2 linked regions of the Cricetulus griseus genome follow. The protein of the gene in region 2 purifies or fractionates together with the protein of the main gene of each other region. This does not show direct contact. Links are inferred from orthologs where the notes say so. Each region holds a gene or a part of one and is shown on either strand. Other genes may lie near its edges.

Region 1 (7,717 bases), on a different chromosome or scaffold from region 2:
GACATCCTTGACATCCTGACACAGGCTGTTTCCCTTCTTCCAGTGTCTACACCAGAACTGTGAGCAGCAGCACCTTCGGCAGCACGCAGGAGGACCACACTGGTTTTCAGAGCATCTAACCAAGGACAAGGGGAGGAAGATTATGATTTAAGTTTTATTACGAAAGTCCCAGGTAACCCCACCTCCACCCTGTTATTGATTGATCCTGTGGTAAATGACCAACCATTCACCCAGGGTGGGGAAAATCCAAGGGTTACTTCAGAAATACACAGAAGATGTGCCAATCAAGCTGTTTTCAAGGTCACAAATCCCAACCCTGGCTTTTGCTCATGCAGGTTGCAGATGGACAGATGTCAGGGTATGAGGCCAGCTCTGATTTGGCCCTGGAATGAGATTTGCAAGGCACTCAAGTCATGTGGTGCAGATAAGCCAAGAAACGAGAGAGAATCTGACACTGTTCTAAGCAGTCTTGCACCATAAATTCTGCAAATGTGAAGATGAGCATAAGCACACATTAACCTTCCCACAGTTCCAAGCCTAAAACTGAATTTCTTTATTGAATTCCTCCGTCAAAGCATATCTCATAAATAAAACATTTCTGGAGAGCTAGGGAGTTATTGCGGTTGGTGATGTGTTTGCCACACAAGCATAGTTTCTGAACTCAATCTCAAGAAACCCGTGTTTTAAAAAGCAGATCATGGTGACACAGAATTGTAATTTCCATGCTTGGGGAAGCAGAGACAGGCAGATCCCAGGAGCTCACCCACCAGCCTGACTAGCCTAATCAGTAAGTGAACTCCAGCTCAGTGAGAAACCGCCTGACTCCCCCCACCTACACACACACACACACACACACACACACACACACACACACACACACACACACGTACGCACGCACGCACGCACGCACGCACGCACGAGCATGCACACATGCTCACACTACTTTTCCAGATGTTGTAGCCTGAAATATATTCTAGCTGATATGTATATGGGCAGCTGCAAAATAGAATGATGGCGGAGCACAAAAAAAAAACAGTTTAGAAAAGGAAGAAATAAAAGTCTTCAGGAGAGCAATGATGATATCAGTGTGTGACCAGTAAGCTCCTTCATCTTCACACAACACTCTAAGGTTGAAAAACACTTGTCCCTATCTTAAAAGAGGGGAAACTGGGGCTCACAATGCTTTGCCACCCATCCCTATCACCACATGAATTAAATGTCAGTCTAGGAATCTAAACTCAGCTCCTTCTCTCTGAAATGAGCTCTTCAGTTCTGCGTGTCCCTACTCTTCTAAACCCAATCGTGACATTCTCAGGGCCAATGTGCCAAGTCCAGTGGCCTAGATGCCCACAGACTATGACTGTATGTTTCTACAGTAGCCTCAACCAAGGCATGCAAAATTCCACATCCCCTCACTGCTCCACAGTCCCTAGAAGTCAAGTCCTCCTTGGAATTCCATTTGGAGTTTTGTATTGCTTTCATGTTCTATAGCATGATTCTACTTTCATTTGCAAGAACCAGCTGTTTGAGAACACCCTTCACTGCCCAAATCCAATCCATGCTTCATCTTTGCCAGGTCCTTCCCCTGCCTTCTCTGCTACTATAGCTCTGGTCACTCCTTCACCTGGTCCACTCATTTTCCATGTCTTCTCTTCCAACTCCATACTTTTAACCTTCCCTTCCCCAGAACCTGACCTGGGCTATAGGAAATGCTGTCTCATGATATCATATCATTAGGAGCAATGGAAATGACAACAGTGGCAACTTTGAAGTTAACTGAGACAAGGCAGCAGCATGAACCATAATTATAACTCTGCTGAGCTGTGAGACACCAGACTGAGCTTTGGAAACCAGTCCCAATGAGGTTCTTGAAATATCTACAACCATCCCATCCCTTTGGGTGCATGCTTTTCTAGGGCCAATTGGGAGTGATAATTAAGCTCTTTGAAGCCGCACTGGCTCTTCATTCAATACATCAAAGCCCAAATGAATATAATTTGGAGGCCTGTCGAGATCATATCTGGCTGCTGGAAGTCTGACTGCTTGTCATACTGTGAGTAGTCACCTGCTCACTGTCCCACAAGAATGCTTCCTACCTGTCCTACCACTGTAACAACCAGAGTAGCAAGGACTTAAATGCCACAAAGCCACAGAAGGGTTCCATTATTCAAGATGTCTGCTCAGTGGAACATCCTGCAGCAGTTTAAAAGGAAGTGGATGGTGTCACACCCCATGCCAGAGAATGTTCATTACATAATTGGAGGAAAACACGGTAAATACTGTCCCATTTTGTTTGCTAGCTACATAGGAACATGTAAATGCATGTTCATGTAGATATTTACATGAGCATAAAGAAGAGTCAGAGAAAATAATCAACAACAGTTAGCAGCGGGTACTCTGAGGATTTGGCATGGGTGGGGGGGTCTCCTTTTCCTCCATATCTTTTGAATGGCGTGGTGTTTTTGTCAATGGGTACAACTCCTTAAGGAATCTATGATAATATTTTCAAAAATGGTGTCATGACCATCTAGTCTACCAATATACATTCTCTTCCATGCCAAAACTGGCACCTTCTACCAAACCCCATTCCCATTTTCCGGGGCTAGTTAGGTGGGATTTGGGGGTTCTAAGTCTTTCTGAGATTGTGACAAGTACTGGTGCATTTTTAAAATAATGTAAAAAAAAAATGCCAACTGCTGTCTCTTAGAAAGCTTCCAGGTACTCAGAGAGTTAAATCTGTGCCCTGGAAACTCAAGTTGAAGTGAGACTTTACCTTCCAGCACTTGCTCAATAACTCCTTAGGGCCAAGAACAAGATGGTGAGGGAGTTCTCACCTCTAACATACCTGTTCCTAGCTTTCTCTAGCAAGGCCTAGCCCTCCTTGGCATCTGAAAGTAAATGTGACCAGGTGCTTCATTCTTAAGAATTAGCTCAACCAAGCCACACAGTAGAAACAGAGGTTTTGAGAAATAGATGCATAAAGAAATAAATAACCCAGGCCTCATTGTTGGGGGAGCATTTTAAAAAATGCACTTCAAAGGATTATTATGCTCAAGTTAGCCGCAAACCTTGAATGGCATTTCTGCATTGCTAATAGGCATGAAAAATATTAAGGAAATATACAAATAATCTGAAAACCCAGGTTCCATTCAGCTGTATGCTGACCAGTTAGATACCAAACATGTGCTCAGACCAGAACAAAGTAAAAGAGAGTTGAGTAGTTTACAGAAAGGTTTTCTTCACTTCCTTCTGTATGAACTATATAGTATTCCTTTTATACTGTATGAACTATAGATCAGAGCATTAAAATCACCTACTGTGCCAGGTGTGGTGGTGCACACATTTAATCCCAGCACTCAGGAGGCAGAAGCAGGCAGATTCTGTGGGTGCAAGGTCAGCCAGCTCTGCACATAGTATAAACTCCAGACCATCAAAAGCTACAGAGTGAGACCCTGACTCAAAAAATAAAAAAATAAAAAAATAAAAAATCACCCACCACAAGGAAACTTATTGGAAAGGCAGAATTTCAGACCTTCCCCAATCACCCCTGAAGGAGGGTCTGAATAACAAGGTCCCCAAATGTTTCAGAAGAAGGAAATCAATTCCTTGGCTCCATCAAAAGAAGACTACTACATCTGCCCTGTCTTCGAGCTCTTCGCTAATTGGGCAAGATCTGCTCAAGGCATTAATGCAAATAGGGAAAGGTTTTGTTGCTCTCGAGGTGAGGCTCTGCAGCTAATCCCAGAGAGAGGACAGGACACTGTATAGACAGCCGGACTTGACTGGGTATTCACTTCTTCCTAAACTATCGCTTGGTGGAATATTCTTAACGGAACTAGTCTAGGTCGAGGATGACACTGGATCTGAAACAACTTGGGTCCAAAATTCCAAAGAGAGTAACAGGGGAGGAAGGTGACCGTGTCTCTTTCTGTCTGAGACCGAAATGGGCAACTGTTAAGTCACTCACTTTTACCATGAGGCTGGGAGGAGCGACAAGGAGAGTTGAGATCAGAGGAGGGGTAGAGCAGGTTATGCACCTGGAAGACAGCCCTCCCAGGGGACCTGCTCCATCACCAGGAGGAAGAGAATAAGGGTTTGTGAGCAGCAGGGCAAGAGACAGGAATCTCAGGTGTCGAGTGGGCACACTGGTTACCAGCAGGGGGGCCAGAGAGGCAGACCCCCAGGCGCTCTAATAGACCAGACAGGGCCACCAGAGGCCTAACTCACAGGTGTACGATGCCAGCCTTGCGCACCGCGGACGAGATAGCTTTGATGGCAGTGCAGAGCGAGTTCAGCAGCTGGGTCATCTCGCCCGTGCCGTGAGCCTTCCTGCCCTGCTCCATGACGAAGCGGGTCAGGGTGCTGATATCCGTGTCGAAGGCCGCCTTGTGCGTCATGGCTGGGGCCTGATACAGGTGCGAGCTGCAGGTGCTGGCTGCAGGTGCAGGCAAGAAGGGCCACAGGTGATGCTCACAGCAGGAGTACCGAAAGCTGCCCAGTGTCTGCAGAAGCTCAGTGAACTTGAGTCCTGGGGGACCTTATAGCCGTTAGGTCTCCGCCCCCTGTCCCAGGAAACACCTCCTTTGCTCCCTGCCCCCACCCAACTGCCGTCCTGCCCGCGAGATCCTCCTAGCCTTCCCCTCCCTTCCATGCACCCTCCCCTAGATGCCACGCCGACATTGCCACTTCCTCCTCTGTTGCTCCACAGCCACACCTGCGTTCTGCAGCATGCCTGTGGGCTACCTGCGTGAAGATCGCCTTCAATCCCTGCAATAGCCTGCCAAAGAGGAAGACCTGATGGACTCCTCCCCACACACCCGCGCCTTTAAAATACAAAGCAACTCCGTGTGAGGGAGGGAGTAACTTGCTCAGTTGCCTTCCCTGCACAGCTGACAGCTGGCAGAGCCCAAAACCCAAGCTGGCCTGTTTCAGTGCCCGCCCGCTGATCTCTTGTCACCTGCCCCTTCAGCCACCTCCTGGAAAGTGGATTCCCCCATCCTTCATCTAGTCTGAATCCTTAATTGCTGCCTTCCCGAAGTTACTAGAGTTGGAGAACCGTTGAGAACCTTAGTTTCCAACAAGTGTGTCCTGCAGGGGAGACAATTACAGACACAAATTGTCCTGAAATCAGGCACGTCCCCAGTCTGCTCCTGTTGTAGCTGACACAAGTCCACAGGCTGATCTATAAAACAATCACTGGACAGCTACTGTGTACCTGAACACCTGCTCTCTTTGTGGTCAGGGCCTCCCTGAGTGTAGAGTTTAACAAACAGAAAACGAAAAGAAACAAAAACAACCCATGGATCAGCTTGCTACAGGAGCCACATTGGCTTAGGGGAGAATGAAACAGGAAAGACAAACATATAAGGAAACTGAGCGTCCAGGGGAAAGTTCACTGAGAAAGTAATATTTGAGCAAAAAGCTGAAGGATGTTGGGGAGGAGCCAGAGAGGACCTATCTGTGGTTAACCAGACAAGCCAGTGCAATCAGCTAGCACCAAGCTTATCAGAGACCATCTCTCAAAATGAGGGGCACAGTGACCAAGCAATAACATCCAAGGTTGTCCTCTGGCCTCACACGAGTACCCAAACAGGCACACATACACCAGAAAAGAAAAAAAAAAAGCAGGGATGGGGGGGGGGGGGTGGGGGTGAGGGAGAAAGACTAAATTATGACAGATCTCATGAGTCATAGCAAGACACTTGTGGGTTCTATTCATAGTGCAAGAAGAACCTTTAGAGGATTTTAATCCAAAAAGTAACTTGACTTGCTTTCCTCTAAATGGAGTGGGAACAGACTGTGGAAGGTCAAGAGCTGAAGCTAGGAGACCCAGTAGCATGCCTTCCACACAGCTTGTTTGAGGCCCTTGTCCAATGTACAAAGATTGCTATCAAACTATGTGTCAACCTCAACTATTTTTCATATGGTGTGGGCTTGAAGCTTCCTGCCCTTCCCTGACCCACTGTCTCTTGGCACTCCCTGCAGCATCATCACTTTCTCTGTTCCCACTGTCTCCTGGCACTCACTCCTTCCAGCATCACCCTCTCTGGACCCACTGACTTGGCATGCCCTCCAGTACCATCCTCTTTTTCTCCAATTCCTCTTCTTTATCCACCTGCTCCACCCTGTGCTCCAATGACTCATTTTCCTAAGAAATTACCCTCTCATCCCTGACACAACATTGAACAGTCTGATGGTCGCAGCAGGGTGGGACAGAGGACACTGCCATGACACAGTACTAATAATGAGCTCAACCAAGACCACAAGGAGCTCCTGAGCCTGAGATGACCCTTCTGAGCTGACTTCAGTGGGGGTCAAGATGCTAGACACCAGGGCCACCTGTCATCCTTTGTAGGCTTCCATGGAAGGATGCCTGACACAGGACAGGTGACAGTCTCTGCCTTCAAAGTTCCAGCACTGTCTAACTCAGCAGTACCAGAAGCTATGGAAGAAGTTCCAGTTGTCTGTGAAGAACTGGGTGGTACCTGTAGCACCCATTGTCATCACCAACAGAGAGGCCTGGCTGTATCTTGTATCCATCCTCTGCTCTTCACATTTGAAGTTTCTCTCTTCCCATGAAGTCACATGTACACCCACAGGCATTGCCAGACTTCTTCAGCAACTCAGCTTCTCCCCGATGCCAGCTGAGACCCTCCCCACATTTCAGCCTGAACCCCACTTCTCCAACCTCTCCCAGACTCCAGCTACCCCACTCAAGGTTCTACATGCCTCTCCTGCACTCTCTAGTACTTTGAACCTGTACCATTTGAGTTTGGCCAACTCTCCCAAGGCCCTGAACCAAAGGCCAGCAGAGAGAAATCATGAGTACTTGCTGTTTTCTAAGTTATTTATTGTTTGTATGTGTATGCAAATATATGTGCCGTGACATGCATGTGGAGGCCAGAAGACAACTTTGGAAGTTAGTTTTCTCCTTCCACCTTGGGGTACCTGGGGATCAACTCAAATTGTCAGCCTTGATGGTAAGCACATTTGCACACTAAGCCATCTTGTTAGCCCATGAGCACTTCACTAAAGGGCTTGCCTGCCTGTGGCTTTCTTCCACATGAGGGTTCTGAGAGCCTGACTTAGAAGGCAGGAGGAATATTTAGAAAGGAGGTAGCAGGGAAATGTCATTTGCTAGGCTCATGAATGCAGCCTCGTGGCCTTTTGTCTCAGACCCTGTAACAACCTGAATTTACCCATAATGCAGTGGAGGAATCCAAAGTTTAAGCAGGTGTCCCTGTTCCAGTGCACAAGGCTCAGTGGTCGAGTGCTTGTTAGGCATGCATGTACACACGGGGCCTTAGAGTCAATCCCTAGCACCCTAAATAAACACATTAATAAATTTTAAAAAATAGATTTCCTCTTGTATTTAGCATCAGACAGTGGGAGAGCTGGGATTTGAGCCCAGAATTTGACTTTGCTTTCTGGCACTAACATATTGCATTTTCATCGTCAGCAGGACGGAGGAAGAACACTCCTACCGAGAGCTGGCTTTCCTACAAGCCAGACCACCTAAAAACACCACTTCACTCTTTGGGCCAAGTTTTGTCACCTGTAAAACAAGGAGGAGTTATGTAATCATCACTCATGTTTCTCGAGTGCTTGTTACAAATCCAGCTAAGGCTGTTTCAGAAGAATTCTCTCATTCTGTCCCACCCCAGCCTTGTGATTAAGTGCAACCATAATTTAGTCCCCTTCCACAGATGAGGAACTT
Region 2 (7,630 bases):
AGCATCCGGCTCAGCTCTTGGCTTTGGGTGTGTGAGCTCTGTGTTTAATTCTGGATACAACACATACAAAGCAGGTCCCGAATTGGTTTGTGGCATCAAGGATGAAAAATACAGCAGAGGATACCCTCTTCCCATCCAAAGCTAACATGAGCAACAAGGATGACTATGGAGCTGGACTCAGGGAGATGCCACTCTGACTGTCCCTGCCTAGAGCCAGAAGTCAGTTACTGTATATGTGTGTGTTTCTGCCTGGCTTGTGTACCAGGACACACAGTTAGAGGTCAGAGAACAATTTGTAGGAGTCAGTTCTCATCTTCTAACCATGTGTGGTTCAGGAATCAAACTCAGGTCCCAACACTTGGAGGCAAGCGCCTTCATTGGCAGAGCCATCTCGCTTGCCCTATTCTCAGATCTTGAAGGCTGAGAAGTCATAGCAATTTCTGGTGAGTGAGGAATGAAAACGGGAGTCAAGCATTCAACAAATGTTTATTGAGCACCTACTGTGTGCCAGGTAGTTCTAGAAACCTGGAAAAGAAGGGCTGGTCCAGTCTGGAGTTGTCCCAGCTTAAGTTCTCCTCCCAAAACACGTCCTGCAAGGAGCTGGGGACCCTTGCCTTGAACAGTGGAAGGTCTAGTTAGAGAAGGCAGAGACCCTACAAGTGTAACAGTTGGGAGTGTGGGGGTCTCTGAGGCTGGTGCTCTCTCCCAGGAAATACGGGCCAGGCCACTGCAGGAGGAGGCCACTGCAGCCCTGCATCATCTCCTCTTCAGTACGGATATGCACGATTTCTTGAGCGGCCCAATCTGCAGATGGGCGTCTACGCTCTCCAGGAAGAAGGCAGGCTTGAGCCTGTGGTTGAAGAGTCCTGAAAAATGACTGTCCAGGCGACTCTGGAATGGGTCAGTGGGGGAGGCCAGGGCACCACTGCGGCGTGGCCTGGAGGCTTTGAGCCTCCGAAGAAGGCTCAGCTTTCCGTCTCGAACTGCGTAGAAGGCCAGGGCATGGTCAGCGTACTCCAGGCAGACCCCAACAGTAGGCGAAAAGGCGTGGGGTAGTGGGGCCTCCAGCCCACAGAACCAGACAGAGAACCCACGCCCATTCCACTGCAGACAGCACGAGTGCGCGTTCCGGCCCAGCCGGCCCCGGTCGTAGGGCTCTTGCGGCGAGAAGCCCTCGGCCATGACACCCACGCTGACCCATCCTTCAATGATCTCCACCTCCCAGTAGTAGGTGCCCCGGTCCAGGGCGCCCTCCCCTAGCACCTGCTCACAGTGTGTGAACCGGGTGGGTGACTCCGGGTAGTTGATGGGACATAATACCCTCTTGACACCTTTGGTTCCAAAAAGCTGCAAGAACTTGTCCGCTGTGTCACTGTCCAAGTCCACGATGTAGGCAACTGACCCCATGGATGGGAGAGAGACAGAAATCACAGCCAGGCTGGGATTGGATAGTCCCCCACAGGGACCCCCCCAGCCTTGTTCCTCTGTAGGACCAGTGAGACGCACAACTAATGGCGACCACCCATGGAGATGTAATGGAGACCACCCATGGAGGTGACCTTGTTCGCCCCTGAGATTAAGGATTTGTGTTTTCTCTGAAGCCTAGCGGCTAACAGGGGCGCCTTGGTAGCAGTGGGCTGGCTACTTACACTTGAGGAAATAGTCCCTCGGAGCTTCACTCTCCAGAAGGTTGGTGCTGTCTGGGTCCTGGGACTCCACCTCAGCTGCAGGAGGAGGAGTGGTGGGGAAGCCATCTCTCTGATTACCTGTGGCTGGCTGCAGGGTTACCCTAGGTAGTGCCCCCCACCACCCATGGTTGTAATTCCCTCCACCCTTCCTCCCAAAGCCTCTAGCTGCTTGGTGACAGACACACCCAAATGGGACCGTGTTCTCATGCATGGATGTTGCTTGAGTTTCCCCACCCTCGCCTCCTTGTATGTGAGGCCTTGATGGTGGGTAAGCAAGAAGAATCCCTTCTGCCTTCCAAGGTGGGTGGCTTCAGTTCCTGGCAGGTTTAAGGTCCCCTCCCCCAATGCCAGACACTTTCCCTCCTCCGTTCCTGGCTGGACACCAGAGCTGGGGTGCAAAGGGTATCTCTCTCTGTGTGTGTGAGTCATCTTGAAGGGGCACCTACCTTCTGAGCCGAGCTTCTGCAGCTCATCCTCGTCACTGCCCAGCCCCCGAAGCTGCTCCCACTGGCTGGCACAGGCTGAGACCAGGATGTCTCTCAATGCTCTGACCACTTGGGAGGACTTGGTGAAGCTGAGCTCCCTGGGGGGCCCAGGTCCAGGGCCGCACCCCTCCTCCAGGGCCAGCCGTAGTGCCAGGAGCTCCTGTGACAAACACCCATTGAGGCTCTGCCAGCCATAGCTTCTCCCAGCCGGGGAAGGTAGCAAGTATCCTGGGAGGCCAGGTACCAGTCGCCTCTGCCACCATTTCCCAACTCCCGCCCCCATCCCTTCAATTTCCGCTGTGGCTCATCAGTGGCCCTCACCTGCAGAAAGCTGACTGAGTCAGCTTCTGGAACCTGACTGAGGTTGTGACGCGCCCGGCTCAGGCGGCTACGCTGTTCCTCTTGTCTACGCAGGTCACCCTGGGAGCGTCCTAACAAAGTGGCCTCTCCCTCCTCGATGAACCCCAGCACCTCAGTCTGGAAATTCTGCAGGGTGGATGTGGCCTCGGCGAACATCTGGCTCACCCTCTCCCTCTCTGTGGCAGCTGCGCTCTACACCATTGGGCAGTGGAGACAAAAACTCAGCCTGGCTGCTCTCCTGACTGTGTGTGCCCACCCAGCCCTACCAGGAGGACAGAGGACCAGTCTGAGCTCTGGATCTGAGCACGACTGTCTTGAGAAACAAGGAGTTCCTGCTTAGTAAGGATGAGCAGTCCCAACTCAGAGCTTGTCTAGAGAGGATGGCACCACCCTCAAAGCTCATGCACACTTTCAGAAGTCTGATTCAGGGGTGGGGGTGGGGGTCCTGACCTTGATGAGGGCCACAGTACGGCGGGACTGCGCAATGCTGGCACCCAGTTCATCCATGCGGTCTTCCACTGCGCTCAGGACTTTGGGCTGCTCAGCCTGCGGATGGGGCTTTGTGAGGTGTTGTCCCGTGACAAGGGTCCCTGATCTGCCACAGATCTCAGGATTTGTCGGGGAAGACTGGGCAATGACATCTGGAAGGGACTGGAAGGGGCTGGAAGGGGCTGGAAGGGGCTGGGCTATTTCAGAATATGTCCAAAGCACCTCTGGCTCTGGCTGGTGCCTTTCCAAACACCTGGCAAGGTAAGCAGGCTGTCAGCATTTGACTGCCTACCTGTCGCCCAGAGAAGCCAGCATAGTTCCACCAAAGGCTCTCAATTTAGTTGGGACCCCCATCCCCACCCCAGTGGGGAAGAGGCAAAGAACGAGAGAGTGGGGTTTGGGGTGTGACTGAATGAGGAGGGAGGGCACTACATAGTCCTGGGGATTAGTTTCTAAAGAGCCTTCACCCCCAATCCAACTCCGAAAAAATGGGGATTCCGAGCAAATCCCTTGGGTCTTATGAGTCACAGCTCCAGGCAGGAGAGACGGAAAATCCCAAAGCTAGAGGCGCCAAGACCGGGATGGATGCCAAAGGAAACTGGGGGTGGGAGGTAGCGGGACACTGGGCACATGCTCCCAACGGCCCCAGAACATTCGGACATAGACGTTCTGTGTGACCAGCCCAACCTCCATGGCGCTCCTGGACCTGCCACACCCATCCACAGCGGCTGACTCAGTCCGGGACAAATTTGAATTGGGACCAGCAAGAAGAGCTCCCCAGCCATGGGGCCACGCCCGCAGCCACCCGACCCTGGTCCCCACCAACTCCAAGGGCCTACCCCAGATAGATACCTCTCGGGCTTCACACCCACACTGAGTCGGCTTCACACACACACACACACACACACACACACACACGCCCTCCCTTTCGGCTCTTTGCCACTCTTTCATATACTCGCCCCTTCCATCCACACCAGCCCCAGCAAACGACACTGTAGACTGGAAGGGGTTGCAAAGACCCTCAGGTTGGAGAAGGAAACTAAGGCAGAGCCCACTGAGTATAGGGGATGAAACCCACGTAAAGGTGAGAACCAACTCCACAAAGTTGACTTCTTGATCTCCATGTGCGCATGCAAAATGATAACAGCAACAGATAAAGGCACAGCCCGACGAGAGTGGGGACTACATAGCTCCTCTCCCGCCCGCCCCGCCCGCCTGTCACCCGTCTTCACGTGCCCGCCTGGATGCCCGCGCCCCACCTCCTGGAGCGCACGCTCCTGCTCCAGCGGCACCAGCTCGTGGCCGCGGTGCTCCTGGGCGGCACAGGCCTCGCACAGGCACACTCTCTCCACGCGGCAGTAGCGCTCCAGCGGCCGCAGGTGGCGCGGACACAGGCTCTCCTCCAGCCGGCGCAGCGGCGGCACCAGGCGGTGGCCGCGCAGTGCGGGGCTGCGTTCGTGCGGGGCGAGGTGCGCGGAGCAGAAGGAGGCGAGGCAGGAGAGGCAGGAGAAGGCGGCGGGCAGGGCGGCGCCCTCGGGGCACGCGTCGCAGCGCACCGGCCCCTCGGCCAGCCAGGGCTCGGGCGCGCAGGGAGCCGATGGCTCCGGAGCCGTAGGGGACGCGCTGGGCGCGGAGGGCTCGGGCGTCGCGCCCCGGGAGGGGTCCGGAGCCGGGGCGGCCATGGGTCCTGGGCCCGAGCCCTGGCGGAGCTGCAGCAGCTCGGACAGCGTGTGGTTCTTGCGGAGCTGCAGGCCGTCGGGGAAAGGCTCCTGGCACAGTGGGCAGCGGGCCGGGCCTCCGGAACCACCGGTGCCGCCCGCGCTCCGGTGCGGCCAGAGCGCGCCCAGGCAGGCGAGGCAGAAGTTGTGGCCGCAGGGCAGGGTCACCGGCTCCCGGAGCGGTTCCAGGCAGATGGGGCAGCTGAAAGGCCCGCTGCCGTCCATCGCTCCGCAGCTGCCCGGGCACCGCCTGTGCTGCTCCCGCCTGGGAGGGACCTGGGACGGCGCGCGCCCGGCACCGCCCCCTGGGGCCCGGGCCAAGGGTCCAGCCCCCTCCAACCCCTCCGCGGTTCTGCCCGCCCCCAACGCGGCCAGCCGCTGTACCCGCGGGTCAGCAGAAGTGGGGTGGGGGTCTGCCTTCCACGTGGGCCGAGGCGGTGGCACTGCCAAATGGGCGTGAAAAGGAGAGGACAAGGACCGGTGATGTATGGGGAGGAGGCTGGGAGGGCATGGGATCCTCCATCCCCCACCTTGGTCAGCCCGGTGCCTCGCGAGAGGTGGGAGGGCACAGCCGTGGCGCCAGTACCTTTGCCCTCCACACCCCTCCCCGGTACAGTTAGCAAAGATCTCGAGCTGCTGACATATAGAAAAAATTACTGCTGGTATGTGTCTGTTTTTGCCCCTTAACGACTCTATTTACCCCCACTGGGGAAGTTGGCCTTGTCTCGATCTGAAATGGGAAGCTGACATCACTGGACAAATCCCTTGTCTGAGGAATTTACTTCCGTTCGTGCACACTCTCGGGTGCCTGTAGTTCCCTAAAAGGAGGCACTCACTGGTTAAGACTTGCCCAACTATGCATTTAGAATGGTCGTCTAATTGCAAGGATGTGTGTTTGCTTTGGGACTTAGTCTCTATAGGTAGCCCAGATTGGCCTAGAACCCTTCATCCTCCTGCCTCAGCCTCTGAGTGCTGGCTTATGCCACATATCTGGTTTCTTAGTGTAGTTTTTGAGACAGGTTCTTGTTTTGTTTTGTTTTTTTGGGGGCGGTGGTGGTGGCTTGTTTTTTTGAGACAGAGTTTCTTTGTGTAACCTTGGCTGTCCTGGAACTTGCTCTGTAGACCAGGCTGGTCTCTAACTTACAGAGATCAGCCTGCCTCTGCCCTCCAAGAGCTGGGACTAAAGGTGTGCGCCACCACCACCTGGTGAGACAGGGTGTTTCTTATATAGTCTTGGTTAGCCTAGAACTTTTTTTGTTTCTTTTTTTAAAAAAAATATGTATTTATTGTGCACATGGATCTGTTTATATGTCTGTATGAGGGTGTCAGATCTCCTGGAAGTGGAGTTTTAGACAGGTGTGACATGCCATCTTGGTGCTGGGAATTGAACTCAGGTCCTCTGGAAGAACAGCCAGTGCTCTTAACCACTGAGCCATCTCTCCAGTCCCAACCTAGAACTTCTTATGTTGGCCTTGGCCTCCTCTTCTCCAGGGCTGGGATTACAGGAGTATGCTGTCATGCCTGGGTAAAGTGACATTGTACATTATACTTCAATTCTGTTACGTTTTAAAATTGTCCAATTCTTGCCGGGCGTTGGTGACACACGCCTTTAATCCCAGTACTCGGGAGGCAGAGTCAGGCGGATCTCTGTGTGTTCGTGGCCAGCCTGGTCTCCAGAGCGAGTGCCAGGATAGGCTCCAAAGCTACACAGAGAAACCCTGTCTTGAAAAACAAAAAATAAATAAATAAATAAAAATAAAATATGTCCAATTCAAATTGTAAAAATTATCGTTATTATTAATTATTATGAGTGGAGCCTAGTGCTGGGGAGACAGCTGCTCAGCTGGTAAAGTGATGAGCAAGTGTGAGGACTGGAGTTAGAATCTGGGGCCTATATTAAAGGCAAAAAAGAAAAGAATAAGCAAAATGGGTAGAATGATGTTGTTATAACCCTAAATAACAATTAAGCATCCATCTGTCCATGCTGAGAGTAATGAGTTACTGGATAAATGAAGAAGCAGGGGGCTAGTAGATGCCTTTCCCATTCAGAACAACCCCAGATAATTTCAGTTGGCTCTCCAAAGTGACATCCTACTCCTTACCTGTGTGCTAACCACAATGGTTTCTTCTTTTTCTCTGTGTAAAAGAGAAAAAGGCTGTCCTGGAACTCTCTGTAGAGCAGGCTGGTCTTGAACTCTGAAATCTGCCTGCCTCTGCCTCCCAAGTGCTGGGATTAAAGGTGTGTGCCACCACTGCCTGTTGTGGAATATTAGCATAGCTATGTAGAGATGTGTTAACATTTGTTTAACTATGTAATGATGTGTTCCTGTTCACCTTGCCTGCCTAAGACACCTGACTGCTCTAATAAAAAGCTGATGGACCAATAGCTAAGCAGTAGATGGATAGGTGGGGCTGGTGGGCAAAAAGAATAAGTAGGGGGTGGAATCCAGGCTCCAGAAAGGAGAGAACAAGGGAGAAATAGAGAGAGAGCCTGGGGACAGTCAGGCGGCCACCAGCCAGCCAGACACAGAGTAGGACATACAGAATGAAAGAAAGGTAAAAAGCCCAAGGCAAAAACGTAGATGAAGAGAAACAAGTTAAATTAAGATATAAGAGCTAGTGGGACAAGCATAAGCGAAGGCTGACTATCCATAACTAATAACGAGTTTCTGTGTGTTTATTTGGGAGCTGGTTGGTGGCCCAAAAGAAAGCTGCTGCAGCTGCCTGGCTTCTAAAGACAGCAAAGGTCACTCTCTCAGTGGGGAAATATACACACCTTATCCGGGCAGTCCTGGTCAGTGACACCACAGCATGGAGTCTGGTGTGACGATGGTACAGGAGGGACACATGGCCTCCCAAGTGCTGCCACCGTAGCATCTGAGCACCACCA

Evidence for each region.
Region 1: the proteins of Trim47 (region 2) and fructose-1,6-bisphosphatase 1 purify together in Homo sapiens (affinity purification with western blotting; 3 studies listed by BioGRID). This does not show direct contact. The link is inferred for Cricetulus griseus from reciprocal best matches to the Homo sapiens genes TRIM47 and FBP1.

Annotation. Positions count from the first base shown.
Region 1 is NC_048596.1:280,506,989-280,514,705, forward strand, and holds the start of fructose-1,6-bisphosphatase 1, read right to left. Parts: upstream 4,398-7,717; coding exon 4,228-4,397; intron 1-4,227. UniProt on the Homo sapiens protein: Catalyzes the hydrolysis of fructose 1,6-bisphosphate to fructose 6-phosphate in the presence of divalent cations, acting as a rate-limiting enzyme in gluconeogenesis. Plays a role in regulating glucose sensing and insulin secretion of pancreatic beta-cells.
Region 2 is NC_048600.1:128,694,144-128,701,773, forward strand, and holds Trim47 (E3 ubiquitin-protein ligase TRIM47), read right to left. Parts: upstream 5,059-7,630; 5' UTR 4,966-5,058; coding exon 4,282-4,965; intron 3,080-4,281; coding exon 2,984-3,079; intron 2,726-2,983; coding exon 2,495-2,725; intron 2,334-2,494; coding exon 2,135-2,333; intron 1,725-2,134; coding exon 1,650-1,724; intron 1,398-1,649; coding exon 757-1,397; 3' UTR 468-756; downstream 1-467. UniProt on the Homo sapiens protein: E3 ubiquitin-protein ligase that mediates the ubiquitination and proteasomal degradation of CYLD.